2 linked regions of the Cricetulus griseus genome follow. The protein of the gene in region 2 interacts with the protein of the main gene of each other region in a pairwise test. Links are inferred from orthologs where the notes say so. Each region holds a gene or a part of one and is shown on either strand. Other genes may lie near its edges.

Evidence for each region. The genes of interacting proteins can lie anywhere in the genome.
Region 1: the proteins of Mtfr1l (region 2) and armadillo repeat-containing protein 1 interact in binary tests that used the Homo sapiens proteins (3 or more experiments, as listed by UniProt). The two-hybrid records come from large-scale screens. The link is inferred for Cricetulus griseus from reciprocal best matches to the Homo sapiens genes MTFR1L and ARMC1.

Annotation. Positions count from the first base shown.
Region 1 is NC_048595.1:123,715,029-123,723,012, reverse strand, and holds the start of armadillo repeat-containing protein 1, read left to right. Parts: upstream 1-3,385; 5' UTR 3,386-3,525; intron 3,526-7,984.
Region 2 is NC_048595.1:18,745,921-18,754,040, reverse strand, and holds the start of Mtfr1l (mitochondrial fission regulator 1-like), read right to left. Parts: upstream 4,175-8,120; 5' UTR 4,136-4,174; intron 4,113-4,135; exon of another isoform or gene 3,776-4,112; intron 2,158-3,775; exon of another isoform or gene 2,055-2,157; intron 1,639-2,054; 5' UTR 1,522-1,638; coding exon 1,507-1,521; intron 1,145-1,506; coding exon 1,040-1,144; intron 1-1,039. UniProt on the Homo sapiens protein: Mitochondrial protein required for adaptation of miochondrial dynamics to metabolic changes. Regulates mitochondrial morphology at steady state and mediates AMPK-dependent stress-induced mitochondrial fragmentation via the control of OPA1 levels.

The sequences.
Region 1 (7,984 bases), about 100 Mb from region 2:
CTTTCAGAGCTCAGCCCTCAACAATCACACATTCTCAGAATTTCGCCCAGATACAAGACTACATTAACCTGTGTCTACTGCAAAGAGAAGCTACTCTGACCACACAGGAAGAACTATTCCAGGGGTATAAACATTCGTATTTAGAAAACAGCTTGACACTAGGTCCATTGAGAAAAACAACAGTATTGGGTTCTCTGCTCCCCGAAGATTATGACCTCCCAGCCATGAGATTTTTTTGACCAGGTTTACAGTACCAGGCATGAATCCTTTCCAATACAACAGGCCTCACATGCAATCAGAAACTAGTTAGCTACCCCTATTGCAGTGTTGCAATAATGGGTATACATCTAGCCTTGGGGGGTTTGCAGGATTCACATCTGGATAAAACTTTGTCTTTTTTTTTTTCTCGCAGGAGTCTGCATAATACATTCTAGTATTATGGACACTAGCCAATAGGGAGGAAGCTACTGTTGTGGATTATTAGTTTAAGGTGTGTTACATTTGTTTATGCTGTGGAATATTTGTTTAGTGATGCAAAGATGTATTGCATTCTTTTATGTTGCATTTGTTTGAATCTGCAAAGCTGTGCTACTACTTTGCCTGTCTAAAACACCTGATTGGCTTAATAAAGAGCTGAACAGTCAGTAGCAATGCAGGAGAGAGAAATAGCTGGGACTGCTAGGCTGAGAGAATAAATGGGAGAAATCTAGGCTTGAAAGAGGAATGGGGAGCAACAAAAGAAGGAAAGGAGGATGCCAGGGGCCAGCCACCCAGCCAGCCATGGAGTGTTTTATTTTTCTCCAACAATGGTAACTTTCTGCTGGTCTCTGAGGTTCACCCGGCAGATGTGGTGGATAAACAATATTCTTCTCCTATCTTCAAGAAATGTCAAGATAAGCACTTGTGTGGTTACCTGATTGGGGTAAAACTCTCAGCATCTGTGCTGCCTGGATCCTCAGGTTAGATACCCACAGAGCACACAACACTGGCAGCCATGTCTGGTGCTGGTCTCTCTCTCTCTTCTTTGAGACAGGGTTTCTCTGTGTAGCCTTGGAGCCTGTCCTGGAACTTGCTCTGTAGCCCAGGCTAGCCTCGAGCTCACAGAGATCCACCTGCCTCTGCCTTTAGAGTCCTGGGATTAAAGGTGTGTGCCACCACCGTCTGGCTGCTGGTCTCTTTAATCACAGCTGATTCTTCAGCCCCAGCTGACCAGTACCAATTGCCCTAGGAAAGCAAACTTTCATTTTCGTGTTTTTGGTATCTTGTTAATCACAGCCACTTTTTTATCTCCCAGTGACCAGAACCACATATTCTTAATTCAAAACATCATATAAATGGTCCTGATGGGTGGAGATTCCCATTCAAAACACCTCATCATACAGAGGAGGAGGGAGAGAATGGATACCACAGCATTGTCCTCTGACACACACCACACACAATGGCTAAGACTGTCTCTGGCACAATGTGTGTATTCACAAGATGATTGTTAAATAAAACTGACAGGATCTGAATAGCGTCTTAAGCAATGCAGCGATTGAGAAACTTTACATTCCAGCCTGTCCTGTGGCAAGCTATCTAAGACTCAAGGCATGACTCATAATAGTAGGTAGCATAATTTCATAGGTGTCAAGTTCAGACACTTTAAAGTCAGGAATGAGAATTCATAAAACTTAAAGACTTCCCTGAGGCCTGTAATCAATCTATAGGAGTTTAGGAAAAGCTAATTATTTTTTTAAGGAATCCTTTGCTTTTTAGTTCCAGCCATCTTTTCTTGGTAATGGCACTTTGCAGAAAGTTTAGCCTTCTCAGAGCTTTAATGGCACAAGTGTGAATACATTCAGTTTCAGATGGTGAGCTTCCAACAGATAAAGACTTTGTGAAATGTATTTTCCCAACAGTGTAAAAAAAAAAACCCTGTCACTAATTACTAGTTCAGACAATACTATATTTCTTTTCCTAATACGCAAATTCACTTAATATGCAAAATAGTAAATTTGTATTTCTGGATAACTGAGTCATCTTTTATTAGAATATTAGGCAATTTTTTTCATTTACTCAACCAGATAGTTTATGTTTAACCAGCTATGCCCTTTGGATTTAGTATATTTACTTTTTTTTAATTTTCTTTTCCTGTTTTAATTCAGACTCAGTGTTCTCTTACCACCACTCCCCCTCGTGGCTTTGGAAATAAAGCAAGCCAGACTTGTTTCTGCCCGAGGTCAGATAGTATTAGAAACCTGTCGTTGTTTTCTACTGAGCTTTTCTTTGCTCCCATTTCATTATAGGTTTTTTATAATACAATAACCAAGAACAAGGGAACACAAAGAAACTCAACTAGATGGGTTCTTTTGTTGCTTTGTTTTTTAAGTCAAGGTCTCCATGAAGCTCCAGTTGGCCTAAACTGGCCTTGAACCTGGAATGATCTTCCTTCTGCCTTTGCCTACTTAGTGCTCAGATTACAGGCCTGAGCTACCTTGGCGGTCTGGTTTATAAATTCACTTACAAAGCCCTGGAGATAAAGGCTTAGAGTACAGTCTGGTACTCTTCCACACTCTTTCCAAATTAAAGCCCTTTCAAATCCCTTGTAACAAACAACAGCCAATCCCTGTATCCTTAATATATGAACTATACATCAGAATCAGACAGTAAAAGAGAAGGTCCACAATGAGCGTGATGGATGTATTATTTTCAGATTGGCCCGCGGGATATGGATTACAATTCGAGACATACTTTGGAGAATAAAACATTTATCTAACGCGACCCCTCAGTGACTACTACCGATAAAACAAGTGTGTCTTTACTTTGCTAAATAGAAAGCGGTGTTAACGAAACTTCATGATGAACTTGAGAAATTAAAAGACAAACTCGTTCCAATGTCAAATCACCTCAGCCGACCCGAAAGCTTTTGGCGTCCCTCGCTTTGCATATAAGGCGACTCCGAGAAGAAACGAATGAAATCTAAGGACGCCAGAGTGCCGACGTTCATAGTAATAACTACAAGGAAATGTCTGAAGGGCCTGAGCAAAGACTCACAGACGCGCATGAAGGATTACAAGGTCGTTTTATTAGACCTGGAAGACTTGCCGGAGACAGAATATTCGGTTTGAATTTCTGAACGCAGAAGCTGAAACCCTGCCGCAGGAACTCTGGGAGTTGTAGTCGCGAAACAGCGATGGACTCGAATGTGTTTAGTACTCGGTGGACGGCGAGCCCTTGGGCCCAATTCAGTGTTCCGAGTTCTCATTGGTCGCGGAGAGTTGACCAATGAGAGATTTGATTTGGAAGTATCCCTTCGCTGATTAGGTGTCCTTCCTCACGTTGCCCTCAGTCTCAGCCAATAGGACTATAAAGCCAGCAGAGGTGACAGGGTCACCGCGGAGCCCGGAGAACCTCATCCGCCGGCGACTCAACCCTGTGCTTCTTTGAGTCAGGCCGCGGCTCTGGTTTGCCGCGCCGCCGGTCGTGTGCCGTCGTGGGTGCGGCTCTGATGCTGCGGCTGGCCCCGGACGCCCGGAGCTCTGGAGGGTACGTGAGCTGGGGGCACGCTGGGGCCGGGAGGCGGCCGCCGTACCGCGGGCCCGCCGCGGCGCCCGCCTCCAGCCAGCAGCAGCCCGCGGGACGTCCCTGCAGGCTCGGGACGCTCGCTCTCCTCCCCGCATCCGACTTTGGCCAGCCAGCCTGTCCTACGGGTGGCGGGTGTCGTCCGCCTCTTTGCTTTTGCTTCAGCTCCCGGCGTTCTTTCTGTAAATCCCGTACACTACGAGATTGAGCGCGCAGGCCTTCGTTCAAGAGAAACCCGTGTCCACAGGTGGTGGGCGTTTGCGCAGTTAGCGGCTCCCTTCGTGATACTATCTCCCCAGCGCTTGCAGTAGAAGTCCCCGCGTGGGTCAGTCGTTCTGTGCTTGCCTGATTGCTCGAAAGTTTTACTGTCCTGCGTTCTTATTTTCTTTCAAACCTGAAACGCGCTCGAGACCGTTATGTGAAGAAGCTGAGGCTTGGAGGAGGTAACTCAATTCCCAGAGAGTTACTGTTAATCTCAGGGAGAAGCCAGATCGGATCTCAGTGTTTGGTGGTGGTGGTTGCTTTTCAACCTCACTTAACACATTAAGGACTTAGGCTAAGTGTGTACCCGCCGCAGCTGTTAGCACGTGAGCGCTTAATACTTTGTGTGAATTAAGTGATGGTTCTTGGCTGAAAGAAAAGAAGAACTTTCCCCACATCTGCCCAGATACAGATGTCTCACATGCTTCGTCCTCCTAAGACTGCCTGACAGCGGCTTAGTCCTCAAATGCTAGCTGATCGACTTCTCAGATTCCCAGACCCCATTGCACCCACTGAGTTTGAACTTGCTTTTCCACAAGATTCCTTAGGGATCGCAGTGCGCAGTAAAAGTTTGAGAAGGATTGTGTTTGTCTACATAGAACCAAAGAAGAGAAGATAAGGCTGGGTCTTGGAGTGTGCCTTTAATCCCAGCATTTGGGAGGTAGTGGCAAGCAGATCATTGTTAGTTCCAGGCCAGCCTGGTCTACATAGGTCAACCAGGGGTAAGTAAGGAAAAATAAAGCCTTCCAAGACTGAGATACAGAAAGACAAGGACGAAGTTTTTCAGTTTTGTTATTTGCAAGACTGAGTTTTCTTTTTCAAAAAAAAAAAAAAATTGCCGCTCGACAATTTTAACCTAGCAGCCCCAAATCTTAAAATAGACATCAGTAGTTAAGGTGTTTCAAAATTGTCTTGTAAGACATCAGGTGCTGACTTTAAAGGTAAAAGAGCAAACTAAGACAAAAGAAAAGTTAACTGCTGATGGCTAAAAGAACCTTTTGTTTATTCACACACGGTTTGCTGCAGTCTAGTTGTCCTATGTAAGGCATACCCTCATTTTCTTTTTGCCAAGAAGGCCTTCCAGTTAGTTTCTTTGGAAGGGAAAGGCTTTTCCAATTTATTCATTTGGCAATTTGATAATAAAGCTGAAGCAAACTGCCAGATTCATGATATCTCATTGCTCAATAATTAGTTTTAGTTTTTAATGTTTTCTTAAAGATTAAAAAAAATCATTTTCTGTGATAGAGAGTTTTGTCTGTATATATGTCTGTGCACCATGTGCATGCCTGGTGCCAGAAGAGGGCATCGGATACTCTAGAACTGGCTTTACAGTTGTAAGTGGCTGTCTGGGTGCTGGGAATTGAACCTGGACTTGGGGAAGATAAGCCTGTGTTCCTAACTGCTGAGCCATCTCTCCAACCCCACCTCAGTGCTCTGCTTAGAGGCATTTGCTTATATGGCAGTAAAAAGTTTCAGGCTCCTGTTTGTACCAGAAATCATTTAATGTGCCTTCAAAAATACCTACTGATGTTTTGGAACGGTCCGAGGAAATTGTATTTATTGAGGCTGTCCAGGTCCGTGCTTCCTGACATTAATGCTTTGGATGAAAACATAACTAGCAAACAAATGAACAAACATATTTGTATTTGAGCCTAATGTGGTATTCAGTATAGAAAGTAAGGGAAGAATTTTGTTTGTTTTAATTTTCATTGTGGTCATTATCTACTATAAATTTGCTCAGATCAGCATTTTAGGTTATTTTAAATTATCCCTCTTTGTGGTGTGTGTGTGTGTGTGTGTGTATGTGTGTGTGTGTGTGTGTGTGTGTGTGTGTGAGAGAGAGAGAGAGAGAGAGAGAGAGAGAGAGAGAGAGAGAGAGAGAGAGAAAGAGAGAGAGATCTCAAGTTGGTGTGTGCATCTGTGCATAAGGATGTATGTGCGTGTCTGTGCACCTTTGTGGATGCCTCAGATCAATATCAGATGTCTTGTCAGTCTTCCTCCGCTTTAGTCTTTGTGACAGGGTCTGTCACTGAAACTCCATGGATCCACCTGTCTCCACCTTCTACAACTAGGATTAACTACATGCACCACTTCACCCAGCTTCTGCATTGGTGTTTGAAATGCAAACTCAGCTTTCATTCTTGTACAGCAGACACTTTATCAACTGAACCATCTCTCCAGCTCTAAAATTATTTTTAGTGTGCCACAAATGAATTAAAATTTTTTTGCATTAGCATACAAAGTAATGGATTTCATGATGGCATTTCCATTGTATGTTGACTCTCATTCAATTTCTTCCTCTGTTTATTTTGAGGTCTGTTAAATCTGGAATAGAGGAAGTTTGGAGTGGATTCTGCAATGATCAATTATAGCTATTTGTCCAGTTTGTGAAGGCAAATATCTCCATCAAACAATTTAAGTTAACTTAAAAGTTAAAAAAACAAACAAACAACAAAATACACTCAGTAAATACGTTAGGCTTAAAGTTCTAATATTTAGAAAGATTTATTTGTGTGTGTGTGGGTATGTGCACATGAGTGCAAGTACTGGTGGAGGACAGAAGAGGGTCAGATACCCTGGAACTGGAGTTACAGGTGGTTGTCAACTACTGAACATGTACGTTTGGAACTGAACTTGGGTCCTCAGCAAGAGCAGTATGTGTTTTTAACCACTCAGTCATCTCCTCATCCCCAAAGTCTAACTTTTAAGCCAGGCAGTGGCAGACACATGTAATCCTATCACCCCAGAAGCAGAAAGGGGATTTCCTCCTTCCTTCTCCTCTCCCTCCTCCCCCCCTTCTTCCTATTTTCCTTTCTGTGTAAGTGTATGTGGCAAGTACTCTTTTATTCCCAGGCTTGTTTCCGTCTTCCTACCTCCAGCATAACTCTTATAAAATCCTCTGTTTTGACAGGCATGTTTGTATACCAATGTCATGGCAGCACTCGGGGCTTTAGCAAGAGGGTTCATACAAGTTGAGCGTAGCTTGGGCTGTTGAGTGAGAATTTCTCTCAAAAATAAAATTAAGATAAAGGAAAAATTGCTTCTGTTAACTCAGCAGTCTAAAGAAACACTGATTATTTAAAAAGATTCAGGCCACATAGTTAGAAAGAGGTGTGTAACCTGATGCCATCAAGATATTAAAATAAAACGAACATTTTGACATTTGACATTTTTTTTACATAAAACCTGTAATTTGGAGGGCAAATCTGAGCTCCAGCCTGCTTTTCTTGCCTCATTTAAAAGTTGTAGTTGCCGAGCTTTGGTGTCGCTTGCCTTTAATCCCAGCACTGGGGAGGCAGAGGCAGGTGGATCTCTGTGAGTTGGAGGCCAGCCTGGTCTCCAGAGCAAGTGCCAGGATAGGCTCCAAAGCTACACAGAGAAACCCTGTCTCAAAAGTCCAAAAAGAAAAAAAAAAAAAAAAGTTGTAGTTGCCATGCAGTTGAGCACAGTTCTGCTTGATGCAGTTGAGTTTCTGTCACTGCCTGATATTTCTGACTTTTCCGAGATAGGCCTTAGTTTGAACCTTTCTCAGTAGGGTTTGAGGATTAGAAGTTTCAAGACATTTTGTCTTCAGGTCATTCCAAAGGATCAGGAAGATTATGTATGACATTTAAGGGATAATCTCATTGAGTAATTATCCAAAGAATGGCAGATAAAAACAGAACTCTGTAGTCTCAAGGAAACCGTAGGTTCTGTGAAAAAGCCACTGAATGTAGTGTTTGTTTGTTTTTTGTTGTTGTTGTTGTTGGTGGTATGTGTGTGTTAACATGCATTTATTTACTGTATGTAGGTTTATGTGTGTATTGGCATATGATGTCACACTGTGCTGAGGGTGGAAGTCAGAGGACAAGATATGGAGTAGGTTCTTTGTTCCACTGTTTGGGTTCCAGAGAGGGAACTTAGTTTCCAAATTTGGTAACACGTTCCTGTACCAACTGATCTGTGGTTTTTCTGTTTTTGTTTTTGACGCAGTATCTCATGTAGCAAAGACTGACCTCAAACTTGCTATGTATCTGAGGATGGCTTTGAACTGCTCCCTCTTGCTTCTCAACTCTCAAGTTCAGGGATGGCAGGCATGTACCACCATGCATGGCTGATTGCTTAGTTCTTCCTTCAGGTTGGATGAGACTTGTGCCATTGACTGTAAAATCCTGTGGGTAAG
Region 2 (8,120 bases):
TTCAGTTCCTACACTGACTGCAGCTATCACTATCTCTCTCTCTCTCTCTCTCTCTCTCTCTCTCTCTCTCTCTCACACACACACACACACACACACACACACACACACCCCTACCTCTTTCTCCCTAGGCCCACATTCTTTTATGCAAGTGTTTCTACCGCCTTTGTGCCATCATGCTTTCATATCTGTTTCCCATACTCACCACCCTAGCCATCTAACACAGAGCAGATGCCTCATCAGGAGTTCTTTTCCCTCTGAGACCAGGTTCCTGTGTAGCTCTAGCTGTCCTAGAACTTGCTGTGTAGACAGGGCCTGCCTCTACTTTGCAAGTGCTGAGATTAAAGACAGCATACCACCACCACCCAGCATCACCAGGAGTTTTTAATGGAAGCATTTGGCTCCAATGCACATTATTTCATTTTCTATGACAGAAGCAGGTCTCAGAGACCTAATCCAGACAGGAAATCTGCTGTAGAGTGGAAGCTAAAGCCTCTGTAACACAGGTCAGCCTGTCAAGCAGCCAGTGATATAGTGGCCATATTTGGACAGAAAAAGGAGGATGGGGATTTGAGGCCACAGAGAAACACTAAAAATAGAGGCTAAGTGGCCCACTCCTAGGGCTGGTGAGAAAAGCAGGTCTACTCAAGAGTCACAGCACTCATGTATAGACCTGCCAGGCACAAATGCCTCAGAGCTCTAACGTAAATCATCTCGAGATTTGGTTTAGCAAAGGCTTTCTGGCCTGCTTTGATAAAACGCATTGCTGGAAGCTTATAAAATCTGAGTCACTTAGCAGCAGCAACAAAGGATAAAAGATTATCAGTTTATGAGCAAGCTGAAAGCCTGATTGTTGTGGTCACATGTCTGTACACAATCAGAAAGGCACAATGACCAGGATCTATTTATATAAGCACTTAGGAAATGAGTGACCAGGAAAGTAGGCAAAAGCCTTGGCAACTAACAAGATGTCTTCTGCACAGAAGTAGCATCCACATTCCATACTGAGTCTTTCCTTTCCTTATCCTTCCAGTACACTCACCTCAAAGGATGCCCGGGGACAAGGTTTCAGGGGTAGATTGGTCCCAATTCTTCTTACCACACTCCGAGCAGCCCCATGTGGCTTGTTTTGCCAGATTGGGATAGTCTAGGGAAGAGATGGACAACCCAAAAACCTCAGAGTGAGTCTAACTACTGTTTCTTGCCTTCCCTCCTCTAGAGGTGAGTCAAGTCAATTGTAAGGGCCGGTTTCTACAGCTGGTGCAGCTAAAGTCAGTGGCTGGGAGGGTTCAGAGAAGGAACTGGAATTAGCTGGGGGTATGGACTGTTCTGGTTCCCTCATGTTCTTTTGCACAAAAAAATAAAAACATGGACTCAGGAAGTGTACCAAAAAGGAAGTAGGATGACAGCTGCTCAAATTCCAGAGCTTCAGTGAAAATAAAAAATGAACTGGCATCTCAGGGCCTTGTATAGTTCAGCTCTCTAAGCCCCCTGCCTTGGACTCCTTACCACATTGGCTTCCATTCCCGATAGTTCAGCCAGCTCCTGCACTTGAAGGACAAGGCACCCACAGAGCAGCTTGGGAAAGCTGGAGGTATGACTCTTTCATATCAGGCCATTCCTAAGAACATGAGATCTTTCCTGTGAAACAAACACCAGAGTAGGGACTTGACAGTCATAAAACAAACCTCTGCAAAGCCACTGCTAAAACCATCTCCAATGTGTAGAGGAAGAAAACTAGCCCAAGGGCTGCCCTTACTTATCACTGGCTTTTCAAAACCCAGATTTGCTGAGAAAGCTTGGCCAACTCAGGGAAACCTCCAGGCTCTAAGATGAACTGAGGCAAAGCTCTTTGGTAGTTACAAAGCTCAAAGGAAAGCAAAACCCAGGGTACCATCCAAGCCCAAACATTTATTCTTGAAAATGCAAGTGGGTAAGAAAGAATCAACAGCCAACTCATGCTAATTTCAGTCTACTGGGCTACAGAGAAAAGAGATTTAAGTGGTTGTAATGCACACCCTACTCCCAACTGGAAACATTCTGTCACAGAAACACACCTCCAGCCCCAAGAGCTTTTTTATTTTATTTTTTTATTTTTTTATTTTGGCTTAGTCTTCTATAGCGGTGTTTCTTAATGTTTTTGAATGCTGGTTTCTTCATCTGTAAAATGGGGAAAAGAAAATCCAACACTCGCTGGGCAGTAGTGGCACACACCTTTAGTCCCAGCACTTGAGAGGCAGAAGACCTGAGTTCAAGGCCAGCCTGGTCTACAAAGCAAGTTCCAGGACAGCCAAAGCTGCTACACAGAGAAACCCAGTCTCAAAAAAACAAAACAAAGAGAAAAATTGCTACTCTAGGCTACCCTAAAGGTCGGTGAAATTGGGGTAGGTGGGTCTTGAAGTGCTTAATGAAATTTAAAAGTTACTCCCTTTTAAATAACTGATCTTATTTCCTCAAAAACAAAAACAAAACACAAAACAGAGTTGCTCATGAGTGTTATTGTAAAAACTCGTTTCTCAGGTTAACATACAAAGCAGTCATCCTGACTGCACTCTTCACAGCTGCCCTGGCATTAAAGTTCAATCAGTGAGCATTGTATCTGTTGAACACCAAGAATACACACTTTTCTAAGGAAGGCTGGGCATCATTAAGAGGTGCACTAGGCAGGTGGGCACAGGAGTCGACTTCAGTTCAAGACCCCATGTCGAGTTTGGACAGGGTAGGAAAGAGAGGGACTTGTAAAACAAGGCAGAATATCCTAAATCATTGCAAAAGGTAGACCAAGGGTCTTGTCATGAGGGCTTGCAATGCCTGGGTCAGAAGTTACTAGGGAACCCAGGTCTGGTGCTGAACAGGGATGAGCTGAATTTGACGAGCAGTATCTTTTAAAGGAGAGCTGGAGTTCCTCTTCTACTGTGACAGAATTGTCACCTTATGATACACACGAAGAAAGGAAAGGACTTGTCTGGCCAGTCACTCAGTACAGAAGACCGTGCCCAAAGTCTGGGCTAGGTTCTGGTATGTGCAGCGCCGTTGAAGCCTACAAATTTCCTGTGTGCCAGCCTTCTTGCTGAATGCCATCTAACTGTGCTACTCCTGTCTTGCTTCATCTCCAGAGACTCCAGCTGAATCTAATCCTCAGGCAAAGGCAGATCTTAATAAACTGCTCCTTCAATTACTCTGCTAGACTGTACAGCCCTCCTGCCATCAGGGCCTACCAAGCAGCCGGACCCCATCTTCCGGCTCTCTCCAAACCAAGCTCTAATACTGTTTGGCGAGTGCACGCTTTGGAGCCACACTGCCACCCGGCCATCAGCTCCCAACACGCCTCCTCGGCACCCTAGCCCAGCTCATCCCAGTTCCCTCCGCCCCTCTACTCAAGCATCGCGCAGTGTTGCTTTCCGAGGCCGCGCAAGACAAATGAAGTAGCCAATCGGCCACAGCGCGGCCTCTGCCAGGCACCGCAAGCGCTGGCTCCGCCGTGAGAAACCGCCGCGGGCGACACCAACTTCGCTCCGAGGCCCCGCCCCCCCGCGCGCCCGCTAGGCGAGCCCCGGTCTCCGCACCTCGGCGCTGCCACAGCCCCAGTGAGCGCGTCTCTCCCGGCAGACCCGCGCCGCCCCGCCCCGCCCCGCGCCGCCGCGCTCCACGAGGGCCCCGAGCCGGCAGAAACTTTGCCCGCGCCGAGGGCGAGAGGGTCCCACGGGCAGCCGAGGCAACGCCTGGCGTCCTCGTCAACGCCGCCGCCCGCCCGGCCTCCCGCCCGCCCGGCCCAGACCAAGGTCGGCCGAGTCCTCACTGCGCGTCCGGCGGCCCGTGGACCCACGGGCCGGGTCGGTGTCTCCCGCCGGCCGGCGCAGGTCCCAGAAACGTCACGCGGCCAGGGCGCGGAGCCCGGGGCGCGCTCTAACGGCCGGGCCGACCCCAACGGCGGGGTGACTTGGCCGGCAACTACGCCTCGGGACTAGTGGCCCCGCCGGGGGGGGGAGGGGGCACAGGCAGCGGCGCCTCCCGCGAGAACTCGCACGAGAACAGCAATCACGCGCTCCCCCGGCGCCGGGACGGAGGCGCTGGCAGCGGGCCTCCCGGCCGCGCTGCCCGACGCCGGGTTCACCTCAGACTCAAGCTTCGGACTCACCTCAGCCCCTCCTACTACAGCAGGCGGCCGGGCCTCAAACGCCACTTCCGCTGACCCGCCTCCGGAAGCAGTCGTTTGCCGCTGCGTATCATGCCGCACGCCCGGGAGAGGCGGGCTTAACAAGGGGCCGGGGCGGCCGCGGCCTGAGTGGGCGGCACACGCGGGAGGCCACACCCCTCCGCGGGCCCCGCCCCCCCGCGCGGGCTGCTCCTAGGGCGCTGAGCCGGTGCTTTCAGCCGCAGGACCTCGGTTCCGATTCCTCGTTGCTTCCCACGTTTATTCTCTACAAGCTTCTGGACAGCGGTGGTCTGGCAGTGTTGCAGTTCAGCACCTACTATAGTTGGTGTCGACCTTACTGCTGCTGCAAGTCTCCGAACCCTCGTCTCGGCATTTCTGCCATGCTTGTCTAGTCGACCCTCAGGCCCGTTGCTTGGTTCCCTGACAAACGGCCCCCAGCAAAAATGGACGCTTTCGCCTTTGACGCATACCCTGCAGTGCTTCGGAGTGGATTCCTTCTATTTAAAAGCCCGTGTCTCGCACACAAACACACGTGTGCTGCATAATTCAGTTTATGGATTAGATGGGTGGATTGATGACGCCGGAGACTCCTTCCAAGCTCACAAGCTCACGCTGCCGGTCTCCATGGCATCCAGTTAACGGGACACACTTCATTTTCTGCCCTCAGTACATGGCTTTGCCTGACTCACAGTTGCACTGCCTTGGTCCCAAAGCCTGCAATCCCCATCTGCCAGGGACAAATCTGTTGGCTTCGTGGGTGGACAGCCCGATGCAGTCACAACGGGCACTACGCCCAGACCTGCCTTACTACGCCCATGCATGCTTTATTTCTCTATTGTTGTCCCCTTGAAATTACAGTTATGCACTGCTGAAGAAAGGGTACTCTCTGAGGAATGTGTCCTTAGGTGACCGAGTTACGCAAACATTATAGATAGAGTGTACTTACACACACCTACTTAATGTAGTGTACTACACACCTAGAGGAATTGGTGTAGCCTATTGCTCCAGGCTGCAAACTTGCATAGCTGCTACTGGTGCTGAATCCCAGAGCAGTTGTATCACAATTGTAAACATTTACATCTAAACACAGATGGAGCACCATTCAAGTTCTTGACACCACGAGTTTCTCAGCGCCTTTGATTTTGTAGGATATGACTGTTGCACAGTCTATCAGTGACAAAGCCACTGCCTAGCACCTGACTAAATGTGTCTTACATTTTTCTTGCACTTCATTTTGCACTGGTCCCCATATAATGATTATAATCAATCCCTAATCTGGAAACTGGCTTTATCTCACCACACTAGTCAAAGTGATTCCAGTACAAAAGGCTGGTTTGTGTTCTAGAGCCCTTCTCTGCAGATGGCTAGGCATTGGTTGACACTCTGGTGCTACATTTTTCTCCTTGCCCTCTTCTGACTCAAGCCTTCTTTTTACAGGTCTTCCTTCTCCCTACACCCTCCCCACCATGTGTGTGAGCTGTGGTGCCCATGTGGAGAGCAAAAGATAACTAGGAATTGGCTCTCTCCACCACGTGGGATTCGGGGACTGAACTCAGGTTGTCTTGGTAACAAGCACTGTTATCCAGGTGCCTTTCCTCCTGTAACTACCTAATGCCTGTCATGGGCTCTGCTTCTAAGACAAGAGATTTAACTTTAGGACTACTCTCCACACCAAATATCAGATTCTTTGGTATATTTGATCATTCTATTACAAACTCACCTTAGGCATGTCACTCAAGCCCTCTGCTGACAGACAAGGCTCCAAAGACAGTCCAGCTCAAATGTCCATCCTTGCCCATCTCCCAATAGGGCAGCAGTCAGACCTCAGAAGGATGAAACCAAACATCCTGCTCAAAGGAAAAGCACCAAGTTTCCTTAGACGCTCTAATTTTATTACAGGACGTACTGGGGATGGGACAGGGGGTGACAAGATGGCAGCTGGGGGTATGCAGAGGTATCATTGAAGACTCAGGAAGCCCCAGCAGTCAGTCCTTTACATAGGACCGGAACTGCTCAGTGTGGAGTCCACTTGGCCCCTTCTGAGGCTGGGTGGCACATACTCATCATGCCTACGAGGAGGCAGAGGCACCGTGAAGTGCCCAGGTACTCTCCGTTTCTGTCGGGCTCATACCCCCCAAGATAAGGAACCTGGCAGAGCCATTGGCACCAGCTATGTTTGGCCAGATCATGAATCATGATTTTTATTTTTTTGAGACAGGGTTTTTCTCTGTGTAGCTTTGGAGCCTGTCCTGTAACTCGCTCTGTAGACCGGGCTGGCCTTGAACTCACAGATTTCCTCCTGCCTCTGTCTCTCGGGTGCTAGGACTAAAGGAGTGCATTACCACCGCCTTCAGGAGGAGTCATGATTTTAAAGGATTTCCTTGCTACCACAGGGGGAAGTGAGCAGGGGTGCTGTATCAAACAAAGCACCCTCCAACCCAAAACACAGCCTTTGGAGTCACATGGGTTTGATTCACAACTCCAGTACTGAGTGATCCTGGTTTAAAAATGGGTATGATTTTCCAATTCACTGGTTTGTTCTGAGAAATGAGGAAATGTGTGATCTCTGCAGGGTCTCCCAGAGACAATGAGGTGGGCTCTGTGGGGTGACTCCAGCAACAGATGAGAGCTGGGCTCAGGGATCAGGTACCTGCCTTCCTCCTCTGCCAGGTTGAAGACAGCCATGGCGGGGCAGGGAAAAGAACTGGGCACACAGGGAACTGGCTGATGTCAAGAAGGCCTTAACGAGATTAAGGTCAAGGCAGTCTTGGGAGTGTGAAGCGCAGGACAGAGCTGGGGAAATGCTGACCCTTGGAAGACCACTTGTAAAAACCATGGAAGAGAAAGACGATGGGCACGCTGTCCCCCACGTGCAGCTGCAAGGACATCAGGCAGGGTCCATCTGGGATTTCAGACCCAGCCATCATGCGGCTGCTGCTGGGGGGAGCCATTGTCCCCACTTCATTCTCCTCGATATTCAGATTTCTAAAAAATATCTATAAACTATGAGAAAGTTCATATAAAACGCTTTCCTGTGTGCATAAAAAAAGACTGGCCATGGTCAGTGGTTCAGGATGTGGGTCAAGTCCCTAGGCGTGGCCAAGGGGAACTGGTGGCCACCTAGTGGCAAATGAGTGTGTCCAGAGTACCCTGGGGGCCTAGACAGTGCTGGCTGTGGTCTTTGGCTGGGCGCCACTTCTGTGGAGTAGGGGTCAGGGTAGGAGGTGTCCTGGGGACACTGGCTCCAACAGTCCCATCATGAACCTATGCTGGGGCAGGCAGTAGGACCCCCCCCTCCCCCCCCCAGAACCCTATTGCTGAAGTACAACCTACTTCACAGTGAACTCCAACTTTCCAAACAGGGCTGGGCTCGGGCCATCAGGTCCATGAAGTGCTCTGGAGGGTGCCCGTGGGACAATATAGTCTCCACGTCTGTAGAAGGATTCTGTGCAAGGCTCCCCACTGCTGTCTTCCAGCTGACATTGACCCCCAAGCTGGGGGCACTGGCCACAGAAAGCTGCCTGGGGGATGGTCAGGATTGAAGGCTCCAAACAGGCATGGGGCTGGCAGCCTGGCCCCCAGGCCCAAGCTCTTAGATTCCTTTGGCGTGAGAGGGGACACCAAGAAAGAAGGGGAGTCTGTCTTTCCAGCCTATTCCTTATTCTTCACACTGAGGCCCTGAACTCTGTCACTGTGTGGGAAGGTCCACAGAGATCACCCCAGAATGTATGGGGGGACTTGAGCTGATAGTGGTAACAGGCCTTTGGCTCACTTACACGCTCATCCGGGCCCCTTCATCTACCACCATCATTCAGGCCAGGTGAGGGGAGCAGCCTCAGTTGGCCTTGGAGCTCTCTAGGAAGCCTGGGAATGAGGTGGGGACCATTTCCAGAGCGAAATGGACAGAGGGCACTATGGCTCCAGGACGTGTGGAACCTGTCTGCCTGTCTCACCAGGTCCAGTTTCT